Coturnix japonica: one gene and its partner. The protein of the gene in region 2 purifies or fractionates together with the protein of the main gene of each other region. This does not show direct contact. Links are inferred from orthologs where the notes say so. Each region holds a gene or a part of one and is shown on either strand. Other genes may lie near its edges. The genes, in order: TNFRSF13B and CAMLG.

The links.
Region 1: the proteins of CAMLG (region 2) and TNFRSF13B purify together in Homo sapiens (affinity purification with western blotting; 3 studies listed by BioGRID and IntAct, with this or other methods). This does not show direct contact. The link is inferred for Coturnix japonica from reciprocal best matches to the Homo sapiens genes CAMLG and TNFRSF13B.

Annotation. Positions count from the first base shown.
Region 1 is NC_029529.1:4,683,958-4,687,238, forward strand, and holds the end of TNFRSF13B (tumor necrosis factor receptor superfamily member 13B), read right to left. Parts: coding exon 3,176-3,281; intron 2,771-3,175; coding exon 2,654-2,770; intron 2,559-2,653; coding exon 2,310-2,558; intron 1,725-2,309; coding exon 1,450-1,724; 3' UTR 781-1,449; downstream 1-780. UniProt on the Homo sapiens protein: Receptor for TNFSF13/APRIL and TNFSF13B/TALL1/BAFF/BLYS that binds both ligands with similar high affinity. Mediates calcineurin-dependent activation of NF-AT, as well as activation of NF-kappa-B and AP-1.
Region 2 is NC_029528.1:2,444,752-2,448,665, reverse strand, and holds the start of CAMLG (calcium signal-modulating cyclophilin ligand), read right to left. Parts: upstream 2,488-3,914; 5' UTR 2,413-2,487; coding exon 2,214-2,412; intron 2,017-2,213; coding exon 1,568-2,016; intron 857-1,567; coding exon 791-856; intron 28-790; coding exon 1-27. UniProt on the Homo sapiens protein: Required for the post-translational delivery of tail-anchored (TA) proteins to the endoplasmic reticulum.

The DNA of each region.
Region 1 (3,281 bases), on a different chromosome or scaffold from region 2:
TCAGAGTCTGTGCCTGCAATTCCCACTTGGTGCCAGTGTTTGACTGCTGGCCCCACTTCACAGTGCCCATGGAGGGATGCTGCCAATGTGATGGCGATCCATTGATTTCTCCCAGTTCTCCAGCATCCAACTGCTCTGTGTAGGAACCTCTGTATGTTCTTACTGTGGATTTGACCAAGTTTCTCCCTGTTACCTTTGCTGATAACTCTATTTATATTTCCAGGTGGGGAGGCCACGTCTGATGGTGAGGAATGTTCCCCTCCAGCTTATCAGGGCTGGAAGGAAGGACCTGGCTGTGGGTGTGTGCGTTGCCTGTTTTCTGGGGCACAGATGGCTCAGTTTGAGCAGAAAAGGCTGAAGGACTGGGAGGGGGAGGTGGTAACCAGGGAAGAATTGAGGATGGTTAAGAGTAGAGGCAGAGCTGAGGCTGAGCGAGAGCAGAGGCTGCAGGGCTTGCTGGGAGGCTGAGGTGGGTTTGGGGCTGTAAATGCAGCACCACACAGAGCTCATCCCACCCTCAAAGAGGAGACTGAGAAGCACCGTGTTGGTTCCCAGAGATGGCCTCAAAGCTTTGCCCTGCTCACCAGCCATGAGATAAAGCACGGGATGTCACTGCACCTCCAGCCTCCTGCTGCTCCTTACAGCTCTGAGGGGCTCCCCATGGCCCTGGTGCTGTGTGTGTGCAGTGCTCAGCCCGGTGCTGCCTGCCTTGGTGGTGGGACAGCAGGAAAGCAATGCATGGCAGGGTGGGGAAGGACTGCATCTGAAGGACTGCATCTGCTCGTGGTTCCTCCAGCAGTTTATTTTCCTATCCCCAATTCACACATCTGATGACACTCCCATGTATTATTTCAAGTCTTGAGCTCTGGTCTGAGAAACAAACTCAAGGCCTTGAATCTCCTCTTGGGAGTGATTCCACGCCAAGCAGAAGCCCTGCACTCTCCATTAGTGAGAACTTAAAGTTCCACGCACTGAACCCCCAGTTTTTCCATAGCAGCTTTCAAGCATCATCATTCCCGGCTCTGTCAGCAGCACAGCAGAACTCAAAGTGTTTCAGAGGCTTCTCAGCCCGGGATGGTTTTGCACAGCAGAGCCCCATTGCAGCAGTGATGCCGGTGCCCAGCACAGTTCCCCTGCTCCTGTGTGTGAAGCTGCATCAGTTCCCTCTGCAGAGGCCAAGCGATGCTGATGGAGGAGCTGTGATGAGGAGCCCCTGTGGGATGTCAGCCCCAACCAGCAGCGCACACGGAGGTGCCTGCAGAGGTTGAGCAGGAGGATGGAGCCGCTGCTAACGGAGAGTTTGGGTGAGTGGAAAAGAACAGTCTGTGCCTGCAGCCCTCGAGCAGAGGCTGTGCTCAGCCCATCCATCCTGGGTGCTGGAGGCAGAGGGTGATCAGCTGTGCTTGGGGAGCAGCCCTCCTTTGCAGCCCGGTGCAGGAGCTCCCGCAGTCACACCGTGGGCGTCTTCTCTTGTGAAGGGGAGCAGATGATTTTGAAGTGGCCATCGTTGTTACTGGGGATCGCCCCCGCGCTGCCCATGCTGCATATCCCAGCGTGAGGGGCAGCAGCTCGTTCCCCTGCGTGGCAGGATGGGCTGTGGCACGGTTTGCTCTCCTGCACAGCGGAGCCGTGGCCGGGGAAGCAGAAGCCGCAGGTTTCCACCGGCTCTGGGGCTTTGCTGCCCGTGGATCCTTCACCGACACTGCCAGCTTCCACCAGGTGATCTGCAGAGACGAGAAACACAGCGCAGGGCTGCACCACAGCCTGCAAGGAGGCAGTGCTGGAATGCACTGTGTAATTACATGCGCTGCTGCTGTGCTTGAAACGCATCACCCACATGTGTCCTGCTGCCCCAAGGGCAGAGGGGTAAATGGGAAGGAGCCTCGAGCAGGGGAGCTGCAGGTGTAGGACTAAAGCAGCTGTAACACTGATAACGTTACACGTGGGTTGTTTTTGCCCTAAGTGCTCCTGTTGCGCCATGTGCTGATGCAGCAGTGCTGTACAACACACAGGGGCTGCTGGCTCGGGGGCCACACAGCGCTGCATGGACTGGCAAAGGGCTCTGCTCTGTTCATCTGAGCTCTGACAATCAAGGTTGAGCGCAGGGTATTGAAAAGCAGGCGGTAAATCCCTTTTCACCTCTCGGCTGCCCTTAAAAGCAAAGGCTGAATGCCACAACATCCTCGAGGTCCTGCTCCTTCCCAGGCCGTGTGACCCATTGCTGGGTCTGTTCCCTCCCTAGGAAGGCTCTGCTTTCAGGTGACAGCCACCCCCCGCTGCCCATCCCTCCCATTGCCCCCTTCACTCACCCTTGGCAGGGTCCTCCCGGCAGTGGCAGGTCCCGGTGCTGGCCTGGCAGGAGCCCACCTCCCCCTTCCTCCGCAAGTGTGTCCAGCCCAGCACCAGGGAGCAGACGAGGGCGCAGAGGCAGAGCCCCAGCAGCAGGTACACCACCAGCCACGGCTCCTGCTCCACACAAACCTTCTGCTCCAGTGCAGCCGCGGGAGGTGATGCTGAAACCAGGGCGGCTGGTGGGGAGTGACTGGAGAGCAGAGATCCTGCAGGGCAGGCAGAGAGCAGAGGGCAGACGGGCACAGAGCGGAGGGCATCAACATAAACTCACACCTCTCCCACCCCTCATCCCCCATCTTACCTCCACACGCGGCATCGCATTGCTTGGGGTGCTGCCCACACACTGTGCTGCAGTTGATGCACTTCTTCACCAGCTCGTCATAGTAGAAGCCAGCTCTCCTGTTACAGACCGCAGACTCTGCAGGAAGGGAAGGAGAGGAGCAGAGCTCGCTCTGAGCACATCCATGGCCCACTGGGGAGGGATGGGGTCACACATGTGGGTCTGTAGGCAGAGTTTGGGGGCGTTGTGCCTCCAGCTCTGGAGTTGGCTGTTGGTCACCCTGCTGGCCACGAAGACACTCAGCTCTTTGCAGGGCCCTTCCCAGCAGCTCAGCCCCAACCTGTACCAATGTGTGCAGTTATCCCTCCCCAGCTTACAGGGCTCCACACTCGCCCTTGTTGAACCTCATGGGGTTCCACTCTTCCCAGCTCTCCAACACATGATGACACGAACAACTCCGTGCTGCACTGCACCCAGCTGCTGCCACAGCCCCACTGCTGTGTTTCCCTGCGCTTTGGGGTTGCATTTTGGTGCCCCACTCACCGCACAGCGCCTTGCACCTCCGCTCGGCCGAGCTCCTGCACATGAGGGTGCAGGGGATGCAGAGGCAGAGGAGGCTGTCCCAGTACTGCTGGTTGGTGCAGTTGTT
Region 2 (3,914 bases):
TACTGTAGTTTTCACCTTCTTCTCACTCTAGAAGGAAAAACAACAGTATGTTAGTTCTTCTGCTACAGTCCAGTTCTGCTTAACATCACAGTTTCACATACCCAGACACCTCCAGATTCACTGGCAAGAACAGCGTGTTTGCACTGGTTCTCTCCAGGACTCACAATACCTTACTTAACCCAGCTACAAATTCAAGCTGTGGAGGATCTGAGGAGCTGAATGAGAAGCTCATTAACAGCAAAAAAACTGCATCATGGGTGTTATGGCAATCCAATCACATGGCAATCCAATCAAGCTGTAAAGCAGAGTTATGGATTGAGGATAAATACAAAGCCTCACGCACTAATATCTCATTTCTAGCTGTCATTCAAACTGGAACACAGAGCCCTTAAAGCCCAAACAACCACCTTATGACCACATCCACAGATTTTGCCCAGGAATCACATATACCCAATGGCTGCTGATAGAGACAACAGTAACCACAGAAGAGTGCTACCCTAGGAGAAAAGCAGAACCATCCTAAAGACATGAAAGATAAACTGGAATTTCACAGTCAGATGCTTTTAGTTATCTTACAGCCAGGTAAGCTGCTAGCCCATGTTTCCACAACAACTCTTAAAACCATTTGGACTAAATGTGGGCATACTGACAGCTGGCATTAGCTATGAGCATTTGATAATTCTCATTTCTAGAGCTCAAAACAGAATAAGAACACTCCCCATGCAACAATACAACCTAAGCAGGGGTTTAAAACATTTGAAGTTAATCTAATTGAGAAAAATTGCTTTACCTTTGGAAAGTACTTGGATAGTCCCATGTAAGCAAGTTGTAGAGTAAGAAATGGTGCAAATATTGACTGACGGAGGAAAAAAGAATATATTAAAGTTCAGAAATAATACATAAGAACACAGAAATTTAATTAACAGCACTACCATTGAATACAGACAAGTGATGTATCACAGGAGCATTGTTCCACCTTGCTTGCTTTCAGTCTTGAAACCTGAAATTGCACGACAGAGCAGTGTGTACTAACAGGCTGAGTGCTCCAGAAGGTGGCAGGCTGCACCAGTCATGCACTTCTGCAAGACGTGCCCGCAGACACCTGCACTACTGAGGGACTATTTTTCCTCAACAGGTTGATAAATGAGCAGGATCTGCACCTCACAGTGCAAGTGTTGTAGCTTTTACTCTGTTATTCTTTCCTAAAGAACAACAGTTGACTCAAACTTGCATAAGACTTAAGCAGTAATAATTATTCTAATGTTGCTTCTCCTCAAAACATTAAGCACCAAAAGCATGCAACTCCCAGCTGTAACTCAGCAGCTGTGCTAGATAATGCAGATTCTGACAGTTATCATCTCAAGGATTGCCAGAGTTGTTTGGTTTGCTTTTTTTCTTATCTTTTACACAGTTGACAGCATTGTAAAGAATGCCTTTAGTTCCCAACCCACTTAGCCCTACATAAACAGCTTTCAAGCCCAGATAAGTAGCGTTTTATATGAGCTGAGTCCTAAGCCTGTCATTAATAAGTCAAACAGAATGGGACTGGTTGCTCCGCTGAACTCACCAAGTACTTGCACACAAAGGCCCTCACTGCAATGGCAAGCAGAGCACATCCCACTAATCGAAATATGCGGAAAGAATCAAACTCCTCCACCGCATTCCCGTTCTCTTGGCTCGGCTTCTCATTCATTAGCTGGTTCCTCAGCTTCAGAGCTTCATCAAACCTGGATAAGTATTGTTCTAATCCATGCCTGGGTGGCCGTGCTGTGGCTTCAGATGGCAGCTCCCCTCTGTTACGGTGCCGGAGCTCACTTGTACCCTCACTGACAAGCTGCGGGGTCTTACTGAACAAGTCCTTCTCCCCTTTGAGGTCTCCCATACTGACTGCATGGTCAGTTGTTCCGGACACACTGGAGACCGAATCACCGAGCACGATTCGTTTTGAAACAGAAGGAAGAGGATGGGAATTCGATTTATCTTGTTCGAGTTTTGATTCTACGTGACTTTCATCATCTAAAGAAGAGAAACAAAAACACCGAGTTACACGCACAGCACTGCATTGCAGAGGTTAATGGCTGGGTACCCAAAGGCCCCGATGGACGGAGGCTCCTCGCTCACTGTGTCAGACACTGAGGGACCGCGCTCAGCGACTTTCTGTCACTGAGGTGAACGGGGCCGGGCCGCGGCCCCACACCTGGCTCAGGGCTCACCCTTGGCTGCCGCGGGCCGGTGGAAGCCCATGATGCGGTTGATCCGCTCCTCAGAGTTCATCAGCAGTTTCCTCCGCCGCAGCTCCGCCCGCCGCTGTGATGCCGACAGCCCCGCGGCAGCGGCGCCCGGCCCGCCGCCCTCCTCCATCCCCGGCACCACAGGCCGCAGCGCCGCACAAAAAGGGGCTGCGCCGCGCATCAACGCGCATGCGCCATCACCGCCCGCTTCCGGGAGCCGAAGCCGGCGGCACCATTTTAAATAATGGCAAAGAGAAGGCAGACAGCCCGCCGCTCTCCCAGCTGTGACGGGGCAGCGCAGTGGAGGACACAGAGCTGTGCCCTCAACAAAGATGGCCGCCGCAGAATCGGAAGTGACGTCAAAAGGCGAGAGGCCCAATCCCCATCAGTCTGACTTGCCACTATCCCATTCTATTCACGCAGTGTGACCCAGCACAGCCCCGCACTCACACCGCTGACAAAGCACTGAGGGACCTGCGTGAGTTCAATTGATTTTATTGAGTAGCCAAATCTGATAAATTAGCACAGATAAAATAAGCATTTGCATGTGTTACAAATGGCTTTTTGTTTTTTACAGGAATAAAAGAGTGAAAATTACAAACTGTAAAAAGGAGGACAAGGAAACCCTGCCTCGAGTCCAGAACAGGGGAAGATCGATCGTCTCAGAGTGAAAGATTTAATAATACAATATTATACACTACTGTACAACGGCACATTGACTAGTGGATGACATCTGTAGGAAACAGAAGCTTAAAATCACATTGAATGGTCCCTTATTTAACAGCCATTTTGCATCTGTTTATTAAATACTGTTAAGAAATTAAACCTAAATAAAAGAATCGTTCTAGTTATTGCAAAAACAACCTACGTGGACTTAAGACTCAAATATATTAAATTAAGAATGAAAGCAAAGTAAAATGGATGGTAACGACGTCGGCTGAACACTAATGGGTCAAATACAGGAATGAGTTTAAAAGAAATTCCTCAACTAGAAAAATAGAATATATTTGCAGTGGGAGTTGTGATGAGATCTAAGAACCAGAGCCACTCCTGCCTGTTTTTATAGTTCATCATCAGCATCATTTTTCCAGTGGTAGGTAAAAGCGAGGCATTGTGGATAGCTGCGTCCATCTGTCCTTATTGACCTTACAGCACAGCAGGCTTTTCCCATTGCCAGGGAATAAACTTCAAGTTCAATACAGAATTAATCTGAAGGTGAAAATCCAAAGTGAAAAAGGCATGTTCTGCTCCAAGAGGGTTCAGCTGAGCCTTGATTATGTTTTGTCTTATAAAACTTAGGGAATCCTACAAGTTAATTGCCACACAGACTGACATCTGTAACTGCTAGTCTGGTGTACATGGAACAGTCCAACATTTATTAGAAAAAAGGAGGGGCTACAATACAGTCATCATAAGCAGATTTGGATGGGCTGTTAAATGCAACGACAGCTCCCAGCATCTGAGTGATAATATACCCCAAATACAAGTTTTAAGTGATAACCTATGCAAGTGCATAGCTTCCATTTAAATTGAGAGACTTCTTTCTCTGGAAAAATAATTATCCGACTGTCTGAACTTAAAAAAACTTGATGCATTCTGACTAGAAACTGTGCAATCATCTGAAAAGCTGTTCAAAAGTAAATACACTCCTGTGTGCTACAGAGACAGCAGACAGGGAAGCTT